Medicago truncatula: one gene and its partner. The protein of the gene in region 2 binds, or shares a complex with, the protein of the main gene of each other region. Links are inferred from orthologs where the notes say so. Each region holds a gene or a part of one and is shown on either strand. Other genes may lie near its edges.

Region 1 (15,952 bases), on a different chromosome or scaffold from region 2:
CACAAATATAACTTGTCAAACAAAGTCGCATACTAAGTTAAAATTTGAACTTTGTTCATATCAGTCCCAAAATATATCCATCATCATAATTAAATGGAATGGATACTATCCCAAAAAGATTTCTATATACATCGTCAATTAGTGAGCTACTCAATTTTATGTATTAGCTTGCTCGCCAAATCAACAGCTCATCAAAATACTAAAACTAAGACTGTCGGTCGATGTTCACATAAACTCACCACTAATTGTCAAGGCATCAAACTGTGGCGGCATCGGCATCCACAGAACTTTTTTCTTTTTTGCTTTTTCTACCTCGCTTTCCTGTGCTTTTCTCTGGTGTACGAGGCAAAATCTTGAGGCGGTAACTTTGTAATGAAGGTCCAAATATGCTATACTTTCCAGCACTGCTAAAAGCAGTTTCTGCATCACAATATCGTTCAAAAACAACTTTGGCGCGGTTAGTCTTCTCGAGAAGTTTAGTCTTTGATTCAATTAGTGTCCCAAAGCGGCCAAAGATCTTGTTGAGATCCGTTGTTGTAGGAACTGAATCCAAGTTTGTAAATTTCAGAGTAAGAGAAGTTGGAGAACTATCGTTCACATGTTCCACATGGTTGGAAGGTTCTGATCCAAGATTTCCATTGGTTTCTTGATGCATTAAACCCAAACCAGGGCTAATTTCGGCAGCGGGCATAAGTTCATCTCTTTCATTCTGGTTTTTCAACAGTGTCTCCTCTTCAGAAATGCTTTGAATTATTCTATCAGTCCAATAAGAATCATTGCAAAGCTCCATTGGTGTCGGTGTTGACATAGAAGATGTAGCAGCAGCTTCTATAGAGGTTACTACTCCAGTCTCACCACCATGCTCTTGTTCTAAAGACAATCCATGCTCTAGAAAAACAGAATCGTTACGGCCGGTAAACTTTTCAAATTCTGAAAAGAAGTATATCATGTCACTGGAGAAACTTTCTCCTGCAGGATCCTTGGCAGCTAAGCATAGTTGAGACTGCATCTCATCTACCGATACATTCTGTAACTGGATGTGGTTTCCAGTTTGGTAATTATTGGAACAATCATCAAAAGCATTGTAAGCTAGCTTTCGTTTCCTTCCTCGCCGTGAAGTTGAGTTATTACCAGAAATTTGGTAACTATGGAAATCATCGTCAGAAGTATCATAAGCTGCCTTCCGTTTCGTGCCACACAGTGAAGTTGATTTATCATCAGCAATTTGGGAATGATGGAAATATTCATTAGTATCGTGAGCTGCCTTCTGTTTCCTCGCACACCGTGAAATTGAATTATCATCAGCCTTCTTTTCTGGCATACATTCGCCCTTTAGATTCCAGGAGTTCTTCTCAGACATTAAATCTGACAAAAGTTTCTTCTTTTTGCCGGTTTGCTTCATATTCTGAGAGATGTGCTGCGACTTCTGTGAGAATACTTCATGGGTTTTCATCAAAACTTGCTCATTAATTTGATCATCGCACTGCTGTTTCTCCCTTATAGGCAGAATTTCCATATCACTCTCAAACAACCGATCAAGCATTGCAAACTCAGGCAGTTGAGAATAGCCTTTTGAGCGATAGAAAGCCGACAATTGGGCACGAGAACTTACAAACTCGAGTCTATCAAATTCAGTAAGTGGTGACTGAGCTAATGATTTGACAAAATTGACAAGTTGCGTAGGTTCAAAAGATGCCGCAGCATTAGCCGTTAATTGCGTCTCCAGCTTAGGAGACACTTCTCCGGTCATACAAGGACAAGAAAGGCCAAATTCAACGCGTCTTGAGGCTTCTTCTAAAGCACAATCAACAGCATGACGGAAATTTTCCAAATCATTCTGTTTCTTCATTTCGGTGAAATGTTTATGAAATGGCTTTATCACTGACACATCATTCCAAGCAAATGTTTGATCACCAAAATATGCTATCAGGTAACAATTTTCCTTAAAGTGCATCCTTGCCTTCTCTGATGCAACGGAGGGATCATAGATCTGACCAGGCCACCAAGGATGGCCCCGAACCTTTCCCCAAACTAAATCAGATACACGATAATTAACATCGGAAAACACAGATTTCGTGGGCACACCATCCTCCTGTGGGTTTTTGTTAGAATTAAGATCTACAACAAGATCAATACCACGGCAATCGTATTGACTATTATGCGGGATACCTGCTCCAGAAATATTGATGTATGTGGTTTTGTCTTGAATCACATTTACTTGATCAACTGACATAAAGTCTGGCTGTTTCAAAGACTCTTCTGCTTTGACGTTCATGCCTTCCACATATGGAACTCCATCCTGTAATTGGTAGGTTGCAACATCTGAGACACGAGAATCTTCAGGATCATATTTAGTAGCAACAAAACTATCAGCAGCTTTTAAAACACCGCCATCCTCCACAACCGTGCTTAAAGCAACGTTTTTAGCCCCGTTCTCTTGTTCGTGCTCAGTCACATCATCTTCAACTCCTTGAACCTCATTACTCAATGCAACTTTCCCCACATTCTCACGCTGCTGTTCAACCTGAACACCATCATTCAATTCAAAAACCAAACCTTGATCAGACATTGCACCTCCATCAGAACATTGAATCACACTTTTCTCCTCTTCATTTTTCACCAACCCACATGAAAATTTTCCTACTTTCCCTTCAGAAACAGAAAGTGTGTCCATTGAACCATTGGTTCCTCCTCCAACATCACAGATTAGGGTTTGAGAACAAGAGAGACCAACGTTAACATTAAACCTTATTATAGAGTTAAACCCCAAAACCCCATTCTCATGATGATCAAATAAAACAGCATCAGCATTTAAATTCATAGCTATAGTAACAGAAAACCACCTATAACACAACACAAAACACAAACAAACATGTGCATGTACATGCGTTCATATTTGAAATGTATAAATCATAAAACCTTTATAATGATAAAACAGGATCATATGAAGGATGAGAAATTCAAACCTGTTTTTGAAACAGATACTTTGTTGTTAGTTTGTTTGAGTTAGAGGAAAGAGGTTGTTGTGGCGAATGTTGAAGTTGAACTGTATGATTGAGATGAGAATGAAACGTAAAATACATGAACTGTGTGAAAAATCTTCAAGAAAGGTTAAAAAAGCGTACCATAGTTTGTTGAGAAAATCTTGATAGCTAAATAACTTTTTTATTGATGTTGTGAATATGTAGATTTGGTGGAAGATTATATTAATTAGTTTCATCTGAATTTATCTCAAAATAAATTATTGGGCCCGATTGAAGTGAATAAAACATCATAATCCATCCAAATCTTGGATATCACCTTATCTTATTTTACCTCTTTTATTGTCACATAAATAAAATCTTATTTCGTTAAATTTTAGTAAGATTTAGTTATAAACTGATATGATAGGATAAGAAAATAAATAGATGATTGATAATTACATAGTCACCGTTAAACAACTTCTGGTGAATAAAATCAACTTCTTATGTGTACAAACTCAAAACATGAAAAAACAGCAGTGGAATTGTTAAGCATTTAGCAACACGAGAGATATTCAAAGTTTTTATCTTTATCTCTTGTTCAATATATCATTTTATGTTGGGAAAACAATATACAAATCAAATATATTGAAAGGAAAATCCTTTTTAATTAGTTATCATACCATAAAAATAAAATAAAATAAAACGAAAGAAAATTTTGCAAAACTCAACCATGTTAATAAGTTTTTTGGTCTTAAACCCTCCAATTCTCATGAGAATTTGATCTAATAATCCAAGTTCAGCTGGATGATAGATAGAGTCTGATTGTGTTCCTAACTAATAAGCAAACAATTTTTAAACGTCGTTTTCCTAAATTTGTGTTCGGTCCTGCCGTGGACTTTTCCTTGATTGTCAAATACTGATACTCCTTAGACAACTCATTTCATTCAATGATAATAACCTGCCAGGATATGTTACATTGTTCACAATTGCATGACCATTGTTGAATGAAATAACTCAATTCCATCCCACTCAAACGGATGAAGAATATCAACATAATTAACCAATTTAACTATATTATTGGATGTCGTCGTAATCTCAAATTTCATTTCACTTAAGATGATAAATTGATGTACAGAGTACATAAAGACATAGATAACACTGAAGTGAAATAATAAACAAGCCAAGTGATTTGTGGCGTTTTATGGAACAGAGCCATCCAGGCCAGTTAATACAAAAATTGGTTGAGCATCTAATAATTTGACAATGTTCAAATTAAGGCAAGCTTGATGATGTGCAAGCCTCACATTATTGAAGGCAAAAGGTACCACATACACACTTCAGCAGGCATCCAGGTCACGGCATGGAGGAGGTTTGGGCTCACTTAACAATGTAGTATTCCCTCCTTCAGGTGCACTCCTAATCCGATGTGGATTTTGTGTGCCGTGCTAAATACCAAAAGAAAATCATATTCAGAGAAGGTTAGAGTATGTTTGATTTCAGAAAACATTTTGATCTTTGAAAGCATATGCTGAAAAAAGGAACAGTTTTGCAGCTAAAATATAAAATGAAAACAGAATGTTTTCTCAACAATGTCGCTGAGTATCTAAAACAATGACAGTAACGAAATAGATCATGGTGATTACTCTTACCGGTGGCTTCTCACCCTTTCTCAGCTTTTCCACTATCTCAACTACTTTCTCTGGGGTCACATCTTCCTGCAATCAAGCATCAATATGACATATTAAGAGTTCTTCAAAAGTACACGCACACTAATAAACCCCTCCCCAAAAAAAAGAGTGAAAAGAGGAAAGGCATACATAGTAATTATAAGTATATCCTTCTGATCCATTAGAGTAATCAGCCACTGTAATCATGGGAGCATTCACACAGCATCCCTGCACAACACCAACAACTTCAATCATGCATTAGCTGCTAATAAAACAGTGGTCAAGATCATCACATTGGCACTCCTTTGGACTTCATAAAGAACTCTAATAAGGTCTGGACACATAAACACCGATCATAGGAAAACACATACCAACCACCATGGTGATTCTCATCTTTCTCAGTTATATATTAATGTCATAAAGGTCATTTTCTTCGGCTAAATTTCTAAGGGGTTATTTGGATAACTTTATATGACCTTTCTTTATAAAAAAACTAATGTATGGCACAGTCTATCTTGCACCAAGAAAACTTATGCAGTCAAGAGCTGGTACTGTGCCCTGTCTTATTTTAGCAGCAGTTTAAACTTCCTGGCTGGCAAATACTAAAGCCAACCAGCTCGGCCCGCTGCATTATAACTTCACATACTGAAAACGGAAAAATACTCGAAATTACACACTATATCAAACATCAAAGATATCCATGTATCAAATATCAAACATGTCCAAGACTATTGAAATAATGACCATCAGAAAGTCCAATTTTGTCCTTCATGTAATTCATCCCTATATACAATGATTGCCTCAGTGCAAATAATTACTACAGCATTGAATACTAGGAACCATCTTGTGTTACTTCTGCAACAGAAAAACTCACCATGCATTCCATTTCTCCAACAGAAAAGAAACCATCTTGTGTTACTTCTGCAAATCAAAGGTAAAACAAAACTAATTCTTATGAAAAAGATACGGTTCAAATTTATCAAGAATAAAATCAGGTTCATTGATAAATGGAGAAATTAGCAAAGGTGAACTAACCATTTCGTTTCACTCCCAAGTGTTTCAATAAAGCTGCTTCAATTTCCCGTGAACCTCGTATCATACAAGGTGTTGTTCCACAGACCAATAAATGATATTTGCCAACCTGAAAATTCAAAGCAGGCGGTTGATCCAGTAAGTTTTGGCCTATACTACTGTGAATTAGCAGAAATAAAAGCAACGCAGAAGAAATGACTTTCACCTTAGATCTATTGAACATTGAGTAAAATGTGGCAACCTCATATACTCGAATAGGGGCAACCTCTATAACCTTAGCCACCTGAATGATTCACAAAACTGTTTGTTAATAAAGGATTTAAATAGCTTCTACCATTATTAAGAAATTTATTATTCAGTTTACAAACAATATGTAAATTTAGGACTTTCGGTGGTGTACCATAGCAATAGGAAATTACAAGCAAAACTCAATTAAATTGATCTGATAGGAACTAGAACAGAAAATTAAGAAATTAATGGATAAAACACTGTCACTGAATAAAGGGAAATAATGGAGAACGTATCAAGTATTATTTATGAAATGGAAAATACTATCAGTGGAATCACATTCACACTACCCAGAGCATGCTACATAGAAGAATACTCTCTGCTTCTTTATGAAGCACGGACACTCCTCGAATTAGGTGTGTCCCGATGTCGGACACATGTCGTGTCCAACACCAACACGACACCGACACATATAATTACACTGAATTATGCGATTTTCTCAAATTATTAGCGGTGTCAGTGTCCGTGTCGTGTCTGGTGTACGTATCCGTATCCGTGCTTCATAAACTCACCAATGATTTCAAAGATACCCGTTCACTCCCCTTTGTATCCATATAACAAAATTAATCACAACTAGTCCACCCCCACTCTCTACCACGTCAGCATTCTCTTCCTTGCTCTTCTTATATTTCCTAAAAAATATCCCTACGCCGTGGGCTTGGGCAGCTGATGGGGCATCAGCCCATTTGAGCCTAAATTCACATTGGGGCCTTAACATAAATGATAGTGACTACTTATATAGAAGAATGTTGAGTACATTTTTTTTTTTAAGGAAAAGAGTGTTGAGTACATAAACAACCAAACCTTGATGCATGCATAGACTTAAAACATAGAATGGTTAGTCTTCTAGATATCGCCAGCAATAATAACCAAAGCCTTTTTCAATTGTGAAAGGTCTGCTACACAAATCAATGGATGCTATAAATGGTGGTTTGTGAGTTGTGACAGCAAATTAAAAATCTATTATAAAAATTTAAGTTTATTGGATAGCGTTGATGCCTATAACAGAAATATGGTGGCTGTTATAAAAGTATTACACGCGTACACAGCATACCAAAAGTTTTATAATATGATAAAATGAAAAATTAACACACCAACAACAATAAACTACAAACACATTGCAAGAAATAAAATACACTGAAAGCAACATAATTCAAACATAGGATAGAAGACAATACCATGGGTCTCATAACATAGTTTTAAAATTAAGGCCAATTTGTAATTTTCCTGCTAAAATCCAATAGCAGGTCAGGATCCGCTACTGCAAACCAATATAGCAGCTACAGCGGGCACTATCTGGAACCGTGCCGTTACGACACCCACCATAGCGGTTTCTTGTTGCTACGCCTCTATAGCGCGCTATTGACTAATCTAATGGGAACCATCTTAAAAAAGGCTGCCATGAACTACCATTCAAATCTAAACTCAGTGGATATAAGGTAGGCTTGGTGGTGGGGTGAGACCGTGGTGGAGTTAAGGAGTGGAGTGATAAGGTGGTTAAGAGTTCTATCCCCACACAAAACATAACACTGACATTTGTCATTCCAAAAAACAAATGTATAAACCCCTTTAAATAGTCTAGCCTATAGTTGAATACTATGATCTTCCTTCACTTCTACCTGTTATACAGTATCTAATCTGCCCTTTGTTCCTCTTTGCTATATTTACAGGTCTTCTCCAAACATGCCCCAACTACCGAAGGCAATAATCTTTAATCTTTTTTACAACAGATGCTACCCCCAGCTCTCTATACAAAGCTATCATTCTGATCTTATCTTATCTGGACTTAATAAGAATATTTCACGAAAGAGTTCAACATACCGCATCCATTGCAGAAACAGGAAGCCAACCTCCATGCTGCTGCTGGGCAAGATCCAGCAGAGGAATCACTGCAGATTGCTTATAGTTGGATGGATAGTGAGATATAATCTCCTTAACCTATAATTAACAGAGATTAAAATCATTGGAACTTTAGAATCTTAAAAACACATCCTAGAAACTAAACAGGATCACATACATAATATCAATACGGAACTAATAATCCAAAAATCATAGAAACATTATTGATTAAACCAATCAGTAAAGCATATATATTCATAAATTCTACACCCTCTTATGCATTATTTTCTGCTCTAATTAGCTTTTAACTCTAAATGTTAAACTCAATTAATCATCAATAATCAAAGTAAAGGGTAATGAGCTGAATTACAGCTACATATTGATAAATCATCACACATTCCAAGTTTGAAATTTTAGAATTTGAAAACAATAAAAAAATTACCTTTGCTTTGTTAGCATCATTGAATTCCCATGGAAGATTGGGATTATTGTCCGGAGAGTCAAGGTGCTGCAACCCAATTCAAAAATTGATACAATCAACAATCACAACATTGAAAATGAAAACTAAGAAAAGGATAATTTGAAGAACACTTACGTAATTGAGAGCGGTTGAGAAAGCCCTTGATGGCTGCGAAAAAGGGAAAACACGGAAGAAAAAAAATCAAACAAATTGAAGATAAAAACGAAGAAGAAATAGAAGTGAGAGATTGAAAAGAAAACCTGATGGAAAGTTTGACGGATCTGGTTGAGACGATTTGCGGCGAGGCGTGCTAGCATTTTGGGAGGAACAAGGTGAAACCAAACAATGGATCGGAGGGAGGGGGAGAGAGAGAGAGAGAGAGAGAGAGAGAGAGTAGTGAAGAAGGGTGTAGTGTAAGAGAATGTAGAGATGTGGCACCTTGATGACCGTTCGATGATAACAATTTTATGTCGACACATGTATGGATGAGATTGCGCGACATTTTGTTTGGGTTCAAAACTTCGAATCTCGTCATGGGCATGTACCAGGGTTAAACTCTTGTGATTGTTGGCCGATCATTTTGGTTTGTATGACATTTTCGTCACTTAGGTAGTAGTAATATGTTTCTTTAGATATTTATACTATATACGAGGTTTTAGAAAGATTCTGGGCTGATTTTTGTTATTCTAATTATACTCTTAAACAAAATTTATATAATAACTGGTGAAAAGACGAATACAAGTATTCGTCTTTTCGTTCTTTTTATCGCGTTAAAGTTTGAAAATTATGAGCGATATTTTTTTATGAAATTTTGATTTTGATTAAAAGTATAAATATAAATTATTGTTGCTTTTAAATTATAACAAATCAAACTAGCATTGTTTACCTATTTCAATGAGATCAAAAATATAATAACAAAATATAATTTAAACTCTTATTTTTGTAATGACACCGACAACAATCATTATTAAAGAAAAAATTATTTTATAGTATAATTCGGATAATGAAAAAGTCAGTCCAAAATCTTATATAGGTTCGGTCTAGTTTGTTTCACTTTTTAAAGCATAAAGAAAATTTGGACATATATTCATATCGTGTTTGTTACATTTTTTATTTATTTTGAATTCACTGCATCAATTATCTTTTTTAAAGGAATAAAGGATAAGGAAAAATCCTCGTGAGCTTAGCTCAGTTGGTAGGGATATTGCATATTATATGCAGGGGCCGAGGTTCGAACCCCGGACACTCCACTTCTCCATAATTTAATTGTGTAAGCTCTAGCCACTAGGCTACTTGACAACAAAAAAAAGATAAGGAAAAATTTGATATTTCGTAGACAATAAATATTGAATTTTTTACACTCTTTAAGTATTTGAATTTACTATTATCTATTTATTATAAGTGTTATTTGTATTTAAAGTTTGGGGTAATATGAGAAAAAGAAAATGTCATCCCAAAAAGGTCAAAAGGGGCTATTTTTTATATATAGTATAGATATAGATATTTATGCTTATAATTTTAATCTATATCATATTGTTGGTGTTATTTAAAAAGATAAGAATTTTTGTTATATTTGTTATATTATTGTTGTCATTGAAAAATGTAAATATGATTTGTTGAGTTTGTTACATTTGAAAATCACAAATATCTATACTTATAATTTTAATCTATATAAAAAAATCTATATAAAATATCGTTTGCAATTCACACGCAAAAAATTTATAAAATATAGTTCATAATCTACACGTGTTAAAACAATAAAAAACGGAAAGACGGCCACATGAGTGCACGTCTTTTTGCTCGTTAAATATAACATTAGTAATATGTTGTCTAATATCGCTCGTTGTTTATGATATTAAATATAACATTTGATGATATTACTAACGTTATAAGAATCGACAGAGACGCATGTATAAAGTTCAATGATTATGTTAAATGATATTTAATTAATCATATTTATTTAATTATATATACTTTTGTTCAAAAAAGAGGGTTGAAATTTAATTAATTAAATATGAATTAATTTAATTGATATTAGACTTACTTTGGGTTAAACCCAATCTAATAAGCATCAAGGGTTTGGTGACTTGTTCTTTATAAATAGAAGAAGAGCATGCACTACTTAAGCATGTAAAACTTAATAGTCATAATCCCTCGCATGGAACGGATATCACAATGTTTCAATTTGTGCTCATGTGGATTGAGTAGAGGCGATGTCGTTTGTGCGAGGCTCATGACCATCTTGCATCGTTTCCCATCATCACTTCAACACATGAATCTTTAACTGTGTTTAGGTTTCCATTTGAATTGTGATTAATGGTTTAATCAATATTCGTTATTGGGATTGTTTCGCTAAAAGGATTAAATTTTTGAAAACTCCTCTTGAATCCCCCAACAAATGTGTAGTAAACTTACACTTTTAATTGTTGGGTACATTTTTTTTAGAGTTGTGTTAGTTTGACCTCAAAGCTTGCCATTTTAGATGCATTACATAATTTTATTTTATTTTTGTTTTGATGGATTACATAATGTAATAGTATATTGTTAATTATGTTGAGTAAATGGTTAATGAATATTATGATATGTTAGAATTCGTAAGCCATCCACACACACTAATTATTCCGTTTGATCACTTTGTAAATATGAGTCAAGTGACAATGTAGATCAAAAGGTATACCGAAATAATCTCACTTAACTTCAGCTAAGCTAATCTTTAGATATATCTTACTGCTAACATTGGTTTATTTTGCAAAAAAATCATTTGAATACGAGTTACTATATTAATTATATAATGCTAACTATGTTGGAGATAAAATTAAAAGAAAAAACACTAGTGGTATCTGTCAATTTATTGGCGAAAGTTTATGCTTATATTAAATCAAGAGGCAAAGCACAATTGCCCTATCTACTACATAAGCAAAATACATCTTGTCAACAAGGTATGTCACATAACTTCTATGGATGAAATATCAACTTGAAGGTTACCAAACCAATGAGAGTAACATTTCTATGAAAAAACATATGTTATCTGATTTTCCAAAAAACCTATTTTACACTAGCGACAAAGCATATTGAAATTAAACATCATTAGATAAGAGACTCTGTTTAGAATGGTATTTATGAAATTAAGTTCATTGATAATGATCGTCAATGGAAAAACATTTTTACGAAACCCCTTGTCAAATATAAATTTAAACATTTACGTTTTGTGTTGATAAACCCCTTTGTCTTTCTCTTTCTCTCTGTTCTCTCACTTTTCTCCCTTTCTCATTGTGTTAATTTTACAGGTTGAAAATGATGAAATTTTTTTTTGAGGTAAATATCTTTAAATTTGTTTATCTTAAATAATGTTGAAACTAAAACTCAAATGTTTTGCTTTCTTAAATAAGAGTTGTTTTCAACTTATTATTCATATTTATGTTTTCAACTGATTTATGATTAGTTACGTGGTTTTCAACAAACAATGTTGGAACTTTTTACGAAGGCATTTTACTTTCTTGAATAATAGTTGTTTTTAACTGATTATTAAAACATGTATTTTTTCAACCAATTTCTTATTATCTACGTGCTTTGTGTATATTTTTTCATAATTTGTTCATATGTTTTATTAGAAGAAACAAGATATATGAAGGCGTATTTCCATCATTGTTTTCCCTTTTTTGAAAGTTGGAGGTACAATGTCTTGAACGAACAAAATATTTTCAACTAAGTCTAACTACATCGTTAATAAATATAAGTTTTTTTGTTTTTGTTGAGAATTAAAAAAATAATTTTTACCTCATACCATTAGAATTCTTGATACATTTTCACAAAAGCATTCATGAAGCATTGGTATCCGATACTCCGTGGATACATATCCAAAAGTATCCATGAAACATTGGTATCCGATGCAATATGTCTCCATTTTGGAGTATCCTAGCTTGCACCATTAATCCACTATGCTTAAAAATAAGGGAAATGCTAACCGGTACTCCCGGGGCACTGGTTAAGGATAATAAAAAGGAAATTATATGTTAATTATTGCATTGAAAATTGTTTAATTAATCCATAAATAAGTCAACAAAACTTCATTTTATGGTAATAATTTCCCTTTTCAATGCAATAATTAATATATAATTTCCCTTTTTATTATCCTTAACCAGGACCCGGGGGCACCGGTTAGCATTTCCCAAAAAATAATATGGATCAAATAAGGTGTTAGAATATTTCCATTTCATTTGCATTTATTCAATTTGGTGAAATATATATAAAAAAAAAAATTGAAAAAAATTAGAAAATAATTAATGGGCGTGGAATCACAGCCGTTGTTTGTCCCGCAGCAAAACCGCTATGAACGGACACGATTTAAACGCATGTTGAATCGTAACGGTATAACATAGAATATCGTGCTTGAAAGAACAGAGAAGCAACGCGGGAAAACTCCATCACAGTCACGACCGAGCATAATGCCGGAGCTACCGGAGGTAGAGGCGGCGAGAAGAGCGGTGGAAGAGAACTGTATCGGAAAGAAGATAACCAAATGCATCGTCGCCGATGATAACAAAGTCATCGACGGTGTCTCTCGCGAAGAGTTCGAAGCTTCCGTTGTTGGGAAGAAGATTGTTGCAGCTCGCCGGAAGGGGAAGAATATGTGGCTTCAGCTTGATTCTCCTCCTTTTCCTTCCTTTCAATTCGGTACTCTCTATCTCTCTCTCTCTCTCTCTCTCTCTCCCTCTCACTCTTACCTTTTGAAACCCTAGCTTACGAGTTTCTTACGATTTATGATTGTGACTGTGTTAGGTATGGCTGGTGCTGTATACATCAAGGGTGTTGCTGTAACAAAGTATAAAAGGTGAGGCCAATGGAGTGTCGTTAAGCTCGGTTACACCGACACTTCTGATTGAAAATGTGTTCGATGTTTGACACATGTCAGTGTCCAAATGTGAATTATATTCAATTGTATGTATATTTTTTTAAAGGTTCTTGCTAACCGGTGCCCGGGGCACTTGTTAGCATTTCCCTTTAAATAATTATAAGTGTTGACGTTTTAGGGTTGTGTCTGCGTGTACGTGTCAGTGTGGAGTGTTTCATTGTCGTTAGCTATCAGTGTGCGAGTGTTTCATTGTCGTTAGCTAATCTCTACTTCACACGTTATACTCAAGTTTTAAAAAATTCAATGATATAGACTCTCTGATTATAATGCATTTTCCAGATTTACAATATCATGTTTCTTTTTTGTCAAGACTTTGTTGGATTGGATTGAGATTTATAGTTTCATTAAAGTGATTTTTTTGCTTTCTACATCAATATAGGAAATTTATGTATGAAACTAATTACATTATAATTTGTAGTGCTACTAAGAGCTACAAGCTGTAAAATGTTTTGCATGGATACTCATTCTCATGTGTTGAGCTGAATTGGATCCCCTGGTATATATAGCGAATGTTTTTTAAGTTTTACATTTTCTTGAAGACATATTTATACTCTCGGGCTGCAAATTATCAGAGAAATGCTGTTATCTATATTTTTTCATCTATGCAACTAGGTGACTGTGTCTGGAGAACACCGACGAATGTTGGCATTTTATTAAGTTCATGATTCATGAAATAGTATGAAAATGTAAATTTGAATACGAAAATGTTATTTTGCGGTGTTTGAAGCATACACGTGTAACAAAAAATTATTTGATCCAAGCTCAGATGTAAAATTATGGTAGGAATTAACTTCAGAATGCGAATTAACTTTAAGTGCTCTCATTAGGGTAATTTCTTATTTATCCTTCTGTGTAATGGGTGGTACAGTTTTTAATTTGATTTTGAGCTAATATTCCATACCTCAATGAGCTTTGTGTGTTATTTTGCTGCAATGATTTGACACCTATAAGTTCTCTCAGTGGTTAATGTAATGATATAAACTTCTTCACAGGTCTGCTGTAAATGACGAGGATGAATGGCCTTCCAAGTATTCAAAGTTTTTTATTCAGGTAACAACTGTCACTCCTTTGATGAGCAGAATGCTTTGAACTTTACCACTTGAGTCTTTGGGCTTGTAACAACTCAGAATCCGATGCTATGTTTTTTATTTGATGAATGATGACAAATTGAAGTGGACTGTTTGCTGTGGACTCGTAACTCATAAGATCTGTGTTCAGTTGTAAGATGCGATTAGCCTATATGTTAGAGTTGGGCTAGAGTCCATCTGTGACTACTATATATCATACATATGCATTTGTCTACATCCATACGTGATTTCATGGTGCGAGAAAACATTACTTTTCTTGTCAATTACAAGGACACAAACCCTGGACATGGACACTGATATTGTCCAAAATGTAAGACAACAACACGAATATTTTCCAAAACTTTGAATGTTCAAGTTTTTTAAGATTATTGAGAAAATGGGGAGAGTGAACATGTTTGGAGCGAGAAAATGCTATGTATTCACTAAAAGCTCTTTAGAGGCTGTCTACTGTTCCATGACATCTAACCTTTATTTATAGTACACTAGGACTCTGATCACACAATGTAGTTTATATCCCTTGCTTAGAAGGTATAGAACAAACTAGGTTCTTAACCTGTTGGATTAAGCCAAGTGCTCTTACTCCCTAACACATTGGCAACTTCAACTGATGGATTAAATTTCACAAGAATACAAAGACCATACAATACCTTGAAGATCAAATAGACGAATATATGTTATAGTTTTTATTTTTTTGTTATAGTCGATGAAGGGAGTTCTTCACTTTAACATGTATACGGGAAAGAAAAACTTTCTATATTTCTGTGAAGCAGAAGGGTGTAAGATTCTGATTACATTCAGTTTGTAAGTTTAAGTTTTTTCTGTAAAATAGCTATGTGAAAGCTTGTGTCAGGAGTTTTTTTGTATTGTCATGTGGTGAGTTTCATGCTTGTTTCCAATTTGGTGGATATTATTTTGGGGCGGCAGTGCTTGTGAAGATGTTTTGTAATGTCGTCATGTAATGACATATATTTACTTTCATGTTACATACTGTGGTTTTAAATTTTTATTAAATTCTAGTCTGTAGATGTAGTGAAGCATTTCGTTGAGATCCCACACCCGTCGGAGATATTGTTAAAATATTCCCCTTGTAAGACTTGGCCTATCCTCATTCCTTGAGCCAACTTTTGGGGTTGAGTTAGCTCTCCAAATTTGAAGTCATTAGATTTTCTCAACATCTGCAGTTTGAACTTTCTACATGTTTCCTCGCATTTGACTTTTTTTATCTTTCCATTTCATACATAAGAGCATAATCGGTATGAAGTTGTGCCTCTGTGCTTAGGGGATTTGTCTTTTGATTTTTCAATTTTCTTCGCATGCATAGTTAGCTTTGATATTTGATGATATGTTTCCCTAGTGAGTATTGTCATTTATGTGAGCTTCAAAAGAGTATTAACCAGATTAAATCACATTGCTGCAGCTAGACGATGGTTTGGAGCTGTCTTTCACCGACAAAAGGCGATTTGCTAGAGTTCGCCTGCTCAAAGATGTATTGTGACCCTACTTGCAAACTGTCATCCATATTAATAAGAGTTTGATATTAACTGTATTTTTTTCATGATATAGCCGACATCAGTGCCTCCCATATCTGAGCTTGGACCTGATGCACTTTTTGATTTCATGACACTTGATGAGTTTACTGAGCGTTTGCACAAGAAGAAAACTGAAATCAAGGCTTTATTACTAGATCAAGTATTAACTGCTTA
Region 2 (15,756 bases):
AAAAAACGTACAGGTAAGAACAAAGCACGCTAAAAAATCTTTCAATAAAATGTTGTTTTGAAATGAATGAATCAAAAGTTGGTAGGCATGTCACACTTGAGGGACAGAAGTGGTTGTCCATGCATATGACTCCTAGAATGCTTTTAGGTAAAGGGACATTTGAAGGAGGGCTTATCAGAAATGATTGATACTACTCATGTCAACAAGATGCATTGTTTAAAAAAACAAACAAACTTAGAAAGTAAAAATTGTATGGTTAAGTGTGTTTGACTTGGATCACTGGTGTGATGGATGGCCTTTTAAAAGGTTCTTAGAAAGCGTTCAGACCAAGACAAAGTTTACTAAAATTAGATTGAGATGTTATAGTACTCATAGAATGGAGAAAACTATTATATATACACACACACCATATGGATAAAATTTCAAGTTCTATGAAATTAGTAAAGTTCTCATTTTTGTTTTATCAAAAAATTGCAAAGATCTTGTTCCAAACTTGACAAAATGATAGAGAAAATTTCAACTTCACATGACTAAAGTATCTGGTTAATACTCGTTAGGAAGTAAACTCTCTATCTCATAAAAAGTGTCACATTTACATTTTTTCTGTCTCAAAATAATTATCCCTTTATAATATCAATACACCATTTATTATTTTTTTCATTATTATACTCTGATTTATTGAATTTTACCATTGAAGTCAATCTAATTCATCAATTCCTTAAAGACCGGATACACAAATATGAAATTTAATGAGACAGTGAGTATTACTGATAAGGTTGTGATATGTATAAACCTTATTACACATTGAATTGAATTGTTTTGATCTAATGAGTTCATGACATGTGTCATGCAGTGTATGGGACATTTGAAAGAATGGCTTACTATGGTATATCATCAAATTTGATCCTATATCTGACAAAGAAACTTCACCAGGGCACTGTCACCTCTTCCAACAATGTCAACAATTGGGTTGGAACTGTTTTTATTACTCCCATAATAGGTGCTTATGTTGCTGATTCTCACCTTGGTCGCTATTGGACTTTTGTCATTGCCTCCCTTATATATTTATTGGTATGCCTTTCATTTACATTATTATGTGCAAAGTCTTGCTGCTTGTTAGTATTTCTCTGATTCTTTTGGGTTGTTCATAATTCATGAGTTTTGGTTAATGGCAGGGTATGTGTCTACTTACACTATCAGTTTCTCTACCAAGCCTAAAGCCACCTGAGTGCCATGAAATGGATGTGACAAAGTGTAAAGAAGCTACCACACTACAGCTAGTTGTGTTCTATGTTGCCCTCTACATTATAGCAGTGGGAACAGGTGGAACCAAACCTAACATTTCCACCATTGGTGCTGACCAGTTTGATGATTTTGACCCAAAACAGAAGGGACTTAAGCTCTCATTCTTCAATTGGTGGATGTCCTGCATTGTTTTTGGGTCACTATTTGCATTCACAGTTATAGTGTATATACAAGATAATGTGAGTTGGACTCTTGGTTATGCTCTTCAAACAACTGGATTTGCAATATCAATCATCACATTCTTGGCAGGCACACCTTTCTATAGACACAAATTGCTTTCAGGGAGTCCCATTAATAGAATGGTTAAGGTCATTGTGGCAGCTATAAGGAAATGGGGTGTAACTGTTCCTGAAGACCCAAAAGAACTATATGAGCTTAGTTTGGAAGAGTATACCAGTAAAGGGAAGTTCAAGATTGATTCCACTCCAACATTCAGGTACAAGTTCTAGCCTACTTTCTCATACTTCTGATGTGTGGTTTTACTAGGAAATGTTGATTCTTGTATTTACAAATGCATGTGTAGGTTCCTTAATAAGGCTTGTGTGGACACTGGTTCAAGAACTAGTAGCGAGTGGATGATATGTCCTATAACACAAGTAGAGGAGACCAAACAAATCCTAAGTGTAATCCCTATTTGGGTTGCTACATTTATTCCTAGTGCAATGATTGCTCAGATAAATACCTTGTTTGTAAAGCAAGGATCTACACTCGACAGAGCCATTGGCAACTTCGATATTCCTCCATCAAGTTTAATTGCAGTTACAATCTTAACCATGATTATCACGTATATAATCTATGAACATTTCTTTGTCAAGATTATGCAGAGGTTGACTAAGAACCCTAGAGGGATTACTCTTCTTCAAAGAATGAGCATAGGATTCATAATCCATATAGTGATAATGATAGTTGCATATTTGGCTGAAAGACATAGACTATTTGTGGCCAAAGAACATGGAGTAATTGAAAATGGAGGACAGGTTCCATTGAGCATATTCATTTTGGCTCCACAATTTGTACTTATGGGAATAGCAGAAGCCCTCTTAGAGGGTGCCAAAATTGAGTTTTTCTATGACCAAGCCCCAGAAAGCATGAAGAGCCTTGGGAGTTCGTATTCCTTAACTACTACGGGCATTGGTAGTTTCCTTAGCACTTTTCTTCTCTCAACAGTTTCACATATCACAAAGAAACATAGTCACCAAGGGTGGATTTTGAACAACCTAAATGCTTCTCATCTTGATTACTACTACGCATTTTTGGCAATACTAAATGCCCTGAACTTCATTTTCTTCATGATTGTCTCAAAAATCTATGTCTACAGAGCTGAAGTTTCAGATTCTCTAAAAGTGCTTGAAACAGAGCTCAAAGAGAGGACAACAGCTATAAGTGTCAAAACAGATATTAGAAGATAATTGTGTTGTGTATATGAAGGGCAATAGGGTGTTTTAAACACCACATTCTTAAGAACAAATTTTGAAAATGTTATATAGCTTAACGATCATGTCTCTGATTATTTTTTATTTTCAACTGTAGTGTAAAAGTTTATTATCCTTCATCTGAACAATGTATTGATAATAGTGAATGTCCTATTGCTAATAATGAATATATTTTAGCTTATAGATTAATAGACTTCATAAAAGCAAGTTAATATTGGTTGTTGAACATTGTCATACAAATAAACAAATAGTCGATCCAAATGAAGTTAATCCCAAATCAAAGCCATTGATATCCAGTGGACATTATCCCTCATCATTCATTGATAAATAACAAACATAAACATGATATGTTTCTCAAAATTAATGACAGTATACAGATATTATTAACAAATCACATGAAAATGTGCCAAATGACAAGTCTAGGTAGCATAGTTTATACCGGCCCAGATGATTCTCTGGTATTATCCAGCCATAATTGCTATGGCATAAAAGTAAAACGAAGTAGCAATAAAGCCAAAGGAACCTGAGCCACCTATCTTTCCAAAATGACTGGCACTGCTTTATTTTGATTTTAGCTATCATCAGTACAGTCACAACCCCTACACATAATACAATACAAATGAAAAGAAAAATCAGGCATCAAACAGGCAGATCTTCCCTAGGAAAGATGAAATTTTCAGCATAATTGGTATTCAAATATAAAATTTTCTTTCACATTTAGATGGATCAATCTGACCCGATTTTCCAATAACAAAAATCCCAACATATTAAGAGAGAAAAACTATTTATATGAACCTAGCATTTTTCAGGCTAATATTTTTGGTCAATAGCTAGAGTTTTGACATGTGACAAAAACAAAACAACCTAAACATAAAACTACCCACGATAAACTCTAGCACAGAAAAAGATAGAAATCATTACATACTATAGCTCCACATGGCATAGCTTTTTTTGAGTTAGACGCTACTTAATAATAATTAATGCTAAAACAAGAACTGTAGAAACAAAGCTAAAGTTTTGGTGATTGTTATTTTTCTGGGTTTCTTTTTTATGGTCAGAATTTGAGCTAAATAATAAAAGGTCTCCTACTTGATTTGAAAAGCTCCTTTCGACTAATTTCTGAAAAAGTTCTTTGCATCTAGTTCTTATAAATAAAAGAAAACCTCCTTTTATAATTAAGAATTTTCAAAAAAAACTGTTTGGCCTAACTTCTTCTTAAGAAGAAGAGAAGTCAAAAATAGGTCAGACCAAACACAATTTTTTACCCAAATATATCTTTTTATATTAGAACGTGTATTCCTATTAAAGCATATCACACAAACATAAATATATGAACAACATGGGAACTGAATGTTACACAAATCAAAGCTATGAAAAAGGAATATCCAATTCAGCCAGCCATATATGAATTTCTAAAATAATTCCAAATACAAGCCTCTAAGCAAAAGAAATGTGTTACTGCCCAGGAACTACTTTAAAAACTAACTTCCCATAAAATTAACCAAACCCTTCAAACTTTCTTTAAGCAGTCAAATTTAACAAGCTACATCCTTTTCTTTGACGGAACAAGCTGCACCCTTAAAATGAGATTTCAACACTAAACCAATTGTTGAGACTCGAGAGTCCCACATTAGATGTGATATGGCCTAAACAATGTTTATAAGTGGGAGGCATTCCTCCTATTACTGCTTGGGTTTGTGTGGTTGAGTTGAACTCAAGAGTTTGTCCTAAATCCAGTCGGTCACCTGTTATCAGGCCACGGATCATGCAAGTTAACTGCAATTTGGCCTAAACAATGTCTATAAGTGGGAGGCACCCCTCCCCTTACTACTCGGGTTTGTATGGTTGAGTTAAGCTCGAGAGTCTGTCATAAATTCATTAGGTCACACGTTATCGGGCCACACGGATCACGCTCCAGATGCGCAGACATGGTCGTGAGGGATGGTTTTGTTGAAAGTCCTGCATTGGATGAGATATGGCTTGAAAAGGTGTTTATAAGGGGGAGACATATTTCACCTTACCAGCCGGCTTTGTGAGACTGTTAGACCTAACCCAAATTCTAAGATAAACATTCAACAGCTATGGTGTTTATAAGGAGGAGACATATTTCACCTTACCCACCGGCTTTATGTGACTGTTAGACCTAACCCAAATTCAAAGATAAACGTTCAACAGCTATCACTTCATAGGAATAACATACTACCATAGTAACAAGCTCTCACATTTAAGTTTTCCAAAGGCATCTCTCATACCTATCTAAACAACTAACATATTAATGTCTGATCCTTCAATTTAAGCTAAATATATTTTTTCATCTATATACCCATGTGTTTATGAGCTATTTTAGTAAATGGGATTAAAAGCAAAATGAGGGTAAATAATTTAGTGAACAACCTTGGTCTAGGCCTCTAACCAGTGGCCTGCAGCAACTCCCTCTGTGCATTCTCTTTAATCCTTCTCTCAAGCTCGGGCCTGAAATGCCTGATAAGTCCCTGCACTGGCCATGCAGCAGCGTCACCCAAGGCACAGATTGTGTGCCCTTCAATTTGCTTAGTCACCTCCTGAAGCATATCAATTTCTTCTAGCTTGGCATTACCAACTTTCATTCTTTCCATGATCATCCAAAGCCATCCTGTTCCCTCCCTGCATGGTGTGCACTGCCCACAGCTTTCATGCTTGTAGAAGTACGAGAGCCTTGCAATGGCATCCACAACATCAGTAGACTTATCCATCACAATCACAGCTGCAGTCCCCAACCCTGACCCAACAGCCTTCAACGCATCATAATCCATCAGAACATCATCACATACATGTTTTGGAATCAGTGGAACAGATGATCCTCCTGGAATAATAGCAAGCAAATTGTCCCATCCTCCTCTAACACCTCCACAGTGCCTCTCAATCAATTCCTTCAGTGGCATACTCATTTCCTCCTCAACAGTGCAAGGCTTGTTCACATGTCCTGACACACAATACAACTTTGTCCCAGCGTTGTTCTTCCTACCAAAACTGGCAAACCATTCTGGCCCACGCCTTAAAATGGTTGGAGAGACAGCTACGGTTTCCACATTTGTGACAGTGGTGGGACAACCATACAATCCTGCATTGGCTGGGAAAGGAGGCTTCAATCTTGGTTTACCTTGTTTCCCTTCAAGGCTCTCCAAGAGAGCTGTTTCCTCACCACAAATATAAGCTCCAGCACCATAGTGGATATGAACATCAAAATCATAGCCTGAGCCACAAGCATTCTTACCCAAAAGACCAGCTGCATAAGCCTCTTTCCTAGCCTTTTCAAGATTTAAACGTTCATTCACATATTCACCCCTGATGTAGATGTAAGCAGCAGTAGCCCTCATTCCCACTCCAGCAATTAAGCAACCTTCTAACAACTTATGTGGGTCGTGGCGCATGATTTCCCTGTCTTTGCAGGTGCCAGGTTCACTTTCATCAGCATTAACAACAAGGTAAGAAGGACGACCATCAGATACTTTTGGCATAAATGACCATTTAAGGCCAGAAGGAAAACCGGCACCACCACGTCCGCGGAGACCAGACTTCTTCATTTCATTAACGATCCAATCAGTACCCTTAATTACCAAATCTTTAGTGCGATGCCAATCACCACGTTTCATGGCACCTTTCAGGAAAGGATCATGCAGCCCATACAAGTTGGTAAAAATCCTGTCCTCATCCTTAAGTCCACCAAAATGGGTTTTCTCTGGAGGTGGAGGTGGTGGTGGAGGCTGCGGAGTACTTGCAGTTGAGGCACCCTGAGTGCTAAATAATCTAACACCAAGACCCAACTTTTCGCTATGTTGTCGAACCAACACTGCCCTCTTTAAAGAAAGAATGCCCCTCATGGTTATCCAACCTGAAAATAATTTCAAGTTTCCAAACAAAACATTTAAGTTAATCAATGCAAACCAAATTGTCCAGAGCTAAAAATAGTCAAATAAAACAATGCTACAAAAATTGGCTATCAACTTTTGGGCTAAACAATAAGATCAGAGCACGTGAGTCAAAAAACAAGTTTACCCACTTAGGCCCTGTTTGGATAAACAGTTTATATCACAAGCACTTATTATGATAAGCGCTTATGTATAAGCTATTTCTAAAGTAAAAAGGTAAAATAAAGTTAAATTGTTTTCGTATAAGCTGGTTTTATAAGCTATCTTGGAGAACTTGTGAAAATAAGCTAAAAACAACTTGTGAACAATGTCATAAGTTTCCCCCAAACAGTCTTACAAAACTTATGTTAGTAGATAAGCTCAAATAAGTCGATCCAATTAGGCCCTTGGTCGTTATCAGAGTTCAGACCGAAAAAAAAAGAAAAAAAAAAACAATTTGGGTTAATCAATTCAAACCAAATTGTCCAAAGCTAAAGATAGTCAAATAAAACATTACAGTTCAAATTTATTTTTTTTAAGAGGACAATAAATTAAAATTGACTATTAACTTTACGGCTATCCAATAAAATCAAAGCACATGAATCAAAATTCAGACCTCAAAAGACAAACTTCCAAATTACCAATTAGTTATAGGCCATAATTGGATAAATAACTTACTTAAGTGTTTATAGCAACACTTATCGTATAAGTGCTTATGCATACACTACTTCTACAACAAAAGCTAAAACAAAACCATAAGTTGTTTTCATAAGCTATCTCAAAGAGCTTATGGACATGTGATAGGCTGTTTCCATAACCTCTTGAAACAATCTCGCAAGTTTTTATGACAGTAAATAAGCTCAAATAAGTCAATCCAAACACACCCATAACCAGAGTTCAGACAACAACAGAGTCTTATCCCACTAAATGAGGTCGGCTACATGGATCAAATTACCCATAATCAGAGTTCAGAGACCCAATTGAAAAATCAAAAGCATAAACTTAAAACACTCAACAACTTTTTGATTCATAACATGCCATATTAAACAAAAAATCCAACAAAACAACCTCCATCAAGCCCCACACATTCAATCCCAACCCAATTCAATCAGATGTAAACTAAATCAATAAATAAATACAAAAAATGGATTTTGGGAAGATTACTGAAACCCTAACAAGAACAAAAAGCGTTGGGGGTAATCTGTATCTACAAATCTAGGAAGAAATAAATTGTGGGTAAGATTGAAATGCACGTGAATTGCAAGCTTGAATGTGTTTATACCAAAAATTGAATGAAAACTAAATTAAAATTATAACATAGATTTGAGCTTAAGCTTAAAAGTAAAAGAATTAGCGTAAATTAAGATAAGGATAAATGGGTTAAGAATAAGATGAAAAAAGAATGAGAGGATGTGAAATTGAAGATGAAGGATGTACCTGCGGATCTAAGAAGTGTTGGAAATGGAGAACCTTGTTGTTCTTCTTCTTGTTTTGTTTTTTCGATTTAGCTTTTTGTTTGGTAGAAAGAAAGAAATAACACGAGTTGGGTTGTTTGAACTTTGGGCTTTTGTTTAGCCACGTTGCATACTTATGAAAAGAGGTTATGGAGATTTAAATGATGAAAGAGATAATTAGCAACAACCAAAAAAATTGATCAAGGGTATGTTTGTATTGACTTGTAAAATCAGCTTATTTATAGCTTATACGAAAAATAATTTAACTTTATTTTAGTAAGAGTATGACCAACGCTTTTTTAACATTCTCTTTAATATTGTCTATCTTATTGTATGAAATCAATGTGGTTTGTTTACTTTGAAAATGAGACTCACATAAAATGGTAGAATTTATATTGATTTCACTCGATAAGAGAGTGGATGTTATAAAGAGTGTTGTTAGCACTGCTTTTATTTTAGTTTTTGCAATCAAAATAGCTTATACATAAGTGTTAATACTTGTGTGAATTTCATCTTTCAATGTGAATCCATGCGGAGACGGCCTTTGGGAATTCGCATACAAAGAAGTTTTTTCTGTGGGGATGTGGATGAGGGAGAAAGTTCCTTTGAGGGTAGTGCGAGTATAGCTGTCAAAATAGGCTACCTGACTTGTCTAGAGCCTTCGGGCCTTATCAGGTCGGACCAAAAAAACCTATTGAAAATATGGGCTTGAAAAAAAAACTATCCGAGTTTGGCCTTATAGGGGACGACCAATATTTTTTGAAAAAGTTAAACTAACCCCTCAAATTGACACCAAAGAGAATCGAACCTGAGACCTTGAGGAGGAGCACACTCCCAGATCCCAAGCCAATACTACTAGACCAACCCAAGTGGTATTGTTAATGTTTCAATGTGGGACTTCAACTTCACTTATATTATGGTATAACATATCTCTTTTACAAGCTACTAAGCACAAACATGATGTAAAGCTTTAGGATATTTTGTTACTTCTCAACGTAATCCTCTTCTTTTTTTTAATGAAGAAATATTGAAGTATCATGTTTCATACATGATATTACCATGATGTGTTTGAACTCTTTAGTTAAACTGGAGAGTTTTTTAAGTGTGTGATTGTTAAGTGTTAAATATAATTAAATAGTTATATTTGAGCAATAACAAATTTATTTACCTTAATGGTATTCATAATAATTATAGATATTGTTTATAGCTTTCATGTGACACGATTTTTAAACCAAAAAGATAATCATAACTTAAGATTTTGTCACAAAAAAAGTTAATATGAGTAGTATAAAAGCAACTTAGATACAATGAGCATAAGTGTATATCAAGCTATCTCATTAACAAAGACGAGTCAAATTATATTTAGCTCAAGTTGAACGCATTTATTTAACGAGCTTAATTTTTATGTCAAATGCAACAGAGTTTATTTGTTTGTTCTCAATAAGATCTATATATAAGCAAATTTCTACATAAGATATGGTAAATATCAATTCTCAGAGCTCTCAATAACAATTGGTTCTTTGAAAACTTCTCACTCTAAAGACATGTTCACAGATACCTTAGAGATACTTGTGAAACATTTATTCATAATTTGCTCAAATTACAATTTCATATTAATCAGTTCACCATAATAATAGTAATATATTTCTGTTTAATGATTTTTCATGTACCATTAGTCCTGAATTTAAATAGTAAGCAAATTCAAGCTGCATATATAGCTTCAAAATGTTGAAAAGAAAACACAACATAGGCTGATTTCATAAAGGATAATTTCATTGATAAATAATAAGGAAGAAAGCAGGGCATAGGTAGCAAACAACATCCATTGATCATCCAATTCCATTTGGAATTATGAACTTAATATTGTTGGAACAAAATTGATTTGTACAATTCCTCTAAGGTTTTGATGATAACAAAGTATTGACGAACAATTGGATATATTAATATTTGTTCAAATGTGCAGGATCATAGAACATATCCATCAAGAGATTGAACATATATTAAAGCGTCGGAAGCACAAGAGAAGCTTAAAAGAATATGGTAGAAGATCTGAAGAAAGGTCAACCGAAAGTCAACATCTTGGATTAGAAGAAAATGACGTCTCTCAGAAGCCGAAGATCAACCTCATTAGACTCGATGAAGATCATCAGACTCGAAAGACCCCTAGACTCAACAGATCGTGAGGGACCCATACTCCACGTCAGATTTGTCGTCTTCTATAGCTATCTCCATCAAAGGATCTGAGTATAATTTTGTCTTCTTCTGATCACGTGTAGAAACAAATAAAGGACTTCAAGGACAAAGAGAATGAAAATATACTTCTAGTTTCAACAAAGGATTTTCGAATGACTATCCAACAAAATTATTCAAATTAGGCAATGGCCCAACATCCTTGATTTGAAGCTTCTCAATGACTCTTAATGTGCTAACACTCTTATTCAATGTCTTTCAAATCCCTGCCTATATAAGCAGCTAAATGGTTAGACAATCTAATATTTATGTATGATAAATCTTAAAATTTATATCAGATCTCCTCACACTTCAAATTAAGGTGATATGTTGAAACGGAAGAGAACTCCAGTCTATCAGTATGTTAGGCGTAGTCTTTAAGTCATGTGAGTATGAAGGTTTATATTATAAGGTATCTATGACAATATTTGTGTACATATGGTCACAAATGAGTAAAAGCATAATTTATACATACATAGTTAGTATAGAGTATGAGATGTAAATATGTATTATAACCTACATTAATAGTAGATGACAGGAGTTCTGAAATCACACATCAAATAATTTGCAATAATATAGTTAACTTTGATTAAATTATGATAAAATATAAATAACACTACGATAAAAACATGTAGACTTACAGATCGGTAGTAAAGATTAGGCTTAATTGCAGTTTCGACACTCTATGTTTCAAGAAGTTGCGATATTGGCCCCCTAACTAAATAAACTACAAAACCGCCTCCTAAGTATTGACTTTTTTGCAGTTTTGGCCCTCCAGACCAATTTTAACAAAGTCAATGCACACATGGACGCCACCTTAAAATGCAAAGGTCTTTAGAAATCAACAAAACAGAAAGAAAAGTAAAATCCTAAAATGCAAAGAACAAACCTCTTACAAATCATCTATCGAAAAAATACCTCAAAAGCAAAGCTCAAACCTTTTAGTAATCAATGAAATGAAAAATTAAATTATAACCGTAAATGCTAGGTTAAGTGGCTTGGACAAATCATGCATCTGAAAAAGGAAAATAATAGTTCAAATGCAAGACTTTTATGAAATAAAATAAAAAATATGTCATGCATGGTTTGAGATATATAGAAAAAATGGTATTGATAAAAAAGAATGGAAGCTAACATCAAGAAATATTGAAGTTGAACGAGTTGAAGAACTTCAACTTTAGTAAAGAAGAAAGAAATGATGAAGAAGATGTGAAGGAGGGAAATCAAAGACATGACAATGACATCATCAGTAGATGTAGAACTCTAACTTCGAAATCACCCATATTACTTTACGAATATGCCCTTGTTGAGGGTAAAATTGTATTTTCTTATATATTCTTAGATGGTTAGTAAATTTTTAGAGCATATCAGCTTGGCGTAATGAGTGGCAGCTGTTGGTGCAACATCATGAAGATGTTTATGTTCATCTTAATTTTTATCCCAAATTCTATTTAACTTTGCAGACATTTGTGATTAAATTCTTCATAATTTTTCATATATAGATGTCCATTGTAAATTGCTACTCACTTTAGCTTCCAAGAGGATGTTTATTAATGTTATTTTTTATATTTTAAGGTTGTTTACTAATGTTGTAAACAGTTACTCTTTATTAGCTAAAACTTATAAAAATACATTCTTTCATATATTTTATATTCTAAATAAATTTTTTAAAAAGTCACGTGAATATATAGTAACCAAACATCTTACACAAACAAGAAATCAAAGTAATTATACGTGCTCATTAACCAAATTTGTTATATACCCTATAAAGATTTTTAAGAAATATTTGAACAAGTAGTATCCAACATATGGACAATATTCAATTATTTGTAAATCCATTCTTACTATATAATTTCATTGCATTCGCTACCACTACTAATCTAAAGTAGATTGATTTCTTTAAGTTGTAAAAACGATTTTACTGTTAACAAATACCTATGTGGTCAGTTTCAGCAACATTGGGGGAAATGTGTCGAGGAAAACCAAGAAAGACTGAGTTCAAAACAATTCATATCAGAGATGTTGTAACTCATTAACGTTATTTAATTATTGTTACTTTTTTTTAATTGTAATTATTAATAATTGGATACTAATGAATATATCTCCATGTTAAAAATATTATGGGACTAGAGACATACAATGACATATATCCTACTTTTGTGTATATTTTTGGTTAGGAAGTTTACCAAAACTAGAAGGCTTACGCATGCATTTACAAACATATTGTGATTTGGAATGGATCGTTGGATCAACAACTTATAACAAATGGATGGAGTGAGATTTGTGAATTTACAACTTATAATACCAGCGTCACGAGGTTGTTTTCTCCTCTTTTTGGGATAATATGTTTTTATTAAAGTTTTTGATCAACACAAAATGCATAGGAGGTTAATCCTAAAAATTAGGCATGTGCATATATTAGACATTACAAAAATTGATGCAAGTATAAAGTCACCAATTTCCAAAAAAGATTCTACCTTGCATTTTTTATTTTAAAAACATCCCTTCATCATTAACACTAGCGAAAAGACGGACACTCACGTGTTATTTTTTATTGCGATAACGTTTGAAAATTATGAATAGTTTTTTTTTATGAAATTTTGATTTTGATTAAAACTAAAAATATAAATGTTTGTTGCTTTTAAGTTATAACAAATCAACGAAAAACAAAAATTTCTTGAAAAAAATAATATTTTACAGGAGGGTGAATCAAAATAAAAATTTTACAGGGTGAAAACCAGAAATGACCTATATTACAGGGGGGTCAAGACCTATTAACCCTTTTATTTATATATAGTATAATTAAATAACATTGCATACAGGTTTGCAAATATTATAAAGTCTTGAGTTGATCATACATTTTCAAATGACTTTCCTTACTTTGTGATTAATGAAGAAATCATGTTGCTCATAAGTAACTTTTTCTTCTTTAATTTGATCGATTTAGAAGAGATCATGTTGCTTGTAAGTTTACAACAGGTAATTTTCCTTACTTTGAGATTATTGAAGAGAGCATGTTGCTTATTAATTTACGAATATTATCAGTTTAAATATTTTTTCTGATCGAATACCGAACGAAACCATTACTCACCTACCCTATTCTAACTCCTCCTAGTGGGCTTTGAACCCATAACGTTTGAGTTTAAGACTTGTCTTTTTCCATTATAATTTTTTTTTGACAAAAATAAAAGATATTCATTTATTCAAATTGATAAAGTACATCGATACAATACAAATTCAAATTCGCTAAAAACAAAAAGTATGAATATGTGAAAAAATCACAACATCCATGTTATTAACATAAAACGGCAAAATACCTATGCCTACAAATATGACTAATATGACTGTATTAAACACTCCAGAATATTCATGTTTCTAGATCTGCAACGTTGACGATGCCAAAGTCATTGTCATTGATAAGATTTGCATTTCTTCAAAGCTAATCTTTCAACCTGAATCAAATAAACACCGCACTAAGGTGAGAAATAAAAAACACACCACACAAAGACTCGAAATCAAAACAAACAGAGTCGTTCAGAGACGATGAAATCACAAAAACAAACGAAAGAAAACAGAAAATATGTTAAATCACTTAGGGCCCGTTTGGATTAACTTATTTTAGAGCTTATATAAAACAGCTTATGTAAATAAATAAGTTTTTATGTATTATTTATAAGTTTTTAAGGTAGTTTATGAAAAAATCGTTAATGAAGATACAATTTTCGTTAATGAGAGCTTATAAATTAAAATAAAAGCTTATTTATTTACATAAGCTATTTTTCATAAGCTCAAAGCAAACGGTGCCTTATTCAATTAAGATATAAGGAAAAACAACTCGGATGAGTGATTTTTGTGTCAAAATTGATCCTAAATCAGCCCTCCGACAAGAAGAAGAAAGAGATGACGACTAGGGTTTGAGAAGGAGAATATCCCTTTTTCTATTATAAAATTAGAATTAAAACTATTGTTTTTTTTAATAAAAAGAATAAAAAAAATCATCTTAAAATTAATTAATTAATGTATATACTATCTTTTTTTTGATCAAGCTGTATATATATTAACTCTAACCTTGAATTTCTTATTTTGTAAAAATAAATAAATAAAGAAATACCTTGAATTTATTAGTTGACAATTCACAATACTATATAACAATAATAGAATAATTTAATTTAATAATGATAATAGCACATTCCACCACAATCATTCACACTTCCATTCTCATCCATTTTCCTTCTTTCCTACAAAATCTCTACAATTTCGGAACTCAGATCATTTCCTTCATCTCCACGCACAGATCCAAATCCCCACTCTTCTCTCTGCGTCAATATCGCTTTTCACCCATTAGATTTTTTTTTTTTTTTTTTTGTATAAATTCATTTTCTGGAGTAGAACAAAGTAAAAGGGTTTTCTTTTCACAACCCAGATTCGTTCTTACTTCGATTCAACTAGTGATGGGTCGCTTTTAGTTTTTTCGTTTTCCATCCTATTTTTATAAAAATTGGATTTTTACTTTTTACAGTTGTAAAATTCTGAATTTTGGGGTGTGTTTTTATTGGGTTTGTTATGATGGATCTTGTTATTGGTGGAAAATTCAAACTTGGGAGGAAAATTGGAAGTGGGTCATTTGGAGAAATTTATTTGGGTATGCACTTTATCAATTTTTATACTTTTTATTTTTTTATTTTTTTTTAATTACTGTATTTTTTGTTTGAATAATTTGGACTTTTTTGATTCAGGTGTTAATGTGCAAACTCAAGAGGAAGTGGCTGTTAAGCTGGTGAGTGAAGTTGTTATGGATTCATGTTGCATGTTTTGGAGTTTTTATGATTCATGTTGCTATGTTTTTGTTTTTAGATTTGTGAATCATGTTGCTAAGTACATATGTACACAAGGGGAAAGCATGTTTTGGAGTTTTTATGATTCATGTTGCATTGTATTGAAGTAACGGTATCTTCTTGTTTTATAGTTTTGACTTGAATTGTGTTGGTGATTGCTTACTAGTTAGTTGACTTTTAAATGGAAAATTTTAGTTCTAATTTTTGTTAGCGGGGAGATTGAATCCACAATCTCCTTATTACTCCGATCACTGTTTAGGGATGATGATGAGTAGAGTTTGGGCAGGGAACAATAGTACTTGTTCCCTTATCCACAATTGGACAAAATACCTGTATCCACTATAGCATAGACACTTTTGATCCAAGGCATGTGCGGTGTCTCATATCGTGTCATTGTCTGACTCGACACTGACACATGTGATTACGTTCAATTGTGTCATTTTTTTAAATAGACACCTGTGTTGATGTGTTCGTGTCAGTATGGTGTCCATGTCTTTGTTAGTAGTTCATTATCCGCATCGGTAGCAACTTCATTACATGTACTTGTACCTACTAGTTACCTAAGTACTTGTACTCATACACGTTACCCAGATTTTGTAGTTTATGTACTTAT

What was found.
Region 1: the proteins of NADH dehydrogenase [ubiquinone] flavoprotein 1, mitochondrial (region 2) and NADH dehydrogenase [ubiquinone] flavoprotein 2, mitochondrial are in contact, whole or in part, in a cryo-EM structure (PDB 9F5X), measured with the Chlamydomonas reinhardtii proteins. The link is inferred for Medicago truncatula from reciprocal best matches to the Arabidopsis thaliana genes CI51 and AT4G02580. Residues at the interface, in XP_001702590.1 of Chlamydomonas reinhardtii: Asp58, Glu59, Arg61, Phe63, Gln64, Asn65, Ile66, Tyr67, Arg69, His70, Met78, Ser79, Arg80, Gly81, Tyr84, Met85, Glu88, Ile89, Lys92, Trp96, Gln100, Tyr133, Glu142, Pro143, Gly144, Thr145, Cys146, Arg149, Glu150, Arg153; in XP_001698508.1 of Chlamydomonas reinhardtii: Thr42, Arg79, Tyr80, Pro81, Tyr84, Gln86, Ser87, Ile89, Ile90, Pro91, Asp94, Val95, Glu125, Val126, Phe129, Tyr130, Thr131, Met132, Phe133, Gly147, Thr148, Thr149, Pro150, Arg152, Leu153, Gln154, Glu184, Met185, Glu186, Cys187.

The regions. Positions count from the first base shown.
Region 1 is NC_053043.1:51,110,893-51,126,844, reverse strand, and holds NADH dehydrogenase [ubiquinone] flavoprotein 2, mitochondrial, read right to left. Parts: upstream 8,668-15,952; 5' UTR 8,567-8,667; coding exon 8,510-8,566; intron 8,418-8,509; coding exon 8,385-8,417; intron 8,298-8,384; coding exon 8,232-8,297; intron 7,889-8,231; coding exon 7,772-7,888; intron 5,946-7,771; coding exon 5,868-5,945; intron 5,772-5,867; coding exon 5,666-5,771; intron 5,552-5,665; coding exon 5,505-5,551; intron 4,859-5,504; coding exon 4,781-4,858; intron 4,679-4,780; coding exon 4,613-4,678; intron 4,409-4,612; coding exon 4,301-4,408; 3' UTR 4,046-4,300; downstream 1-4,045. Other genes in the region: uncharacterized protein, read right to left, coding at 257-2,821; formamidopyrimidine-DNA glycosylase, read left to right, coding at 12,695-12,923, 13,029-13,080, 14,154-14,211, 15,667-15,735, 15,813-15,938. UniProt on the Arabidopsis thaliana protein: Core subunit of the mitochondrial membrane respiratory chain NADH dehydrogenase (Complex I) that is believed to belong to the minimal assembly required for catalysis. Complex I functions in the transfer of electrons from NADH to the respiratory chain.
Region 2 is NC_053042.1:16,127,844-16,143,599, forward strand, and holds NADH dehydrogenase [ubiquinone] flavoprotein 1, mitochondrial, read right to left. Parts: upstream 8,238-15,756; 5' UTR 8,063-8,237; intron 6,610-8,062; 5' UTR 6,599-6,609; coding exon 5,147-6,598; 3' UTR 5,133-5,146; intron 3,338-5,132; 3' UTR 2,967-3,337; downstream 1-2,966. Other genes in the region: protein NRT1/ PTR FAMILY 5.2, read left to right, coding at 854-1,071, 1,176-1,741, 1,829-2,714; casein kinase 1-like protein 10, read left to right, coding at 14,872-14,950, 15,045-15,085. UniProt on the Arabidopsis thaliana protein: Core subunit of the mitochondrial membrane respiratory chain NADH dehydrogenase (Complex I) that is believed to belong to the minimal assembly required for catalysis. Complex I functions in the transfer of electrons from NADH to the respiratory chain.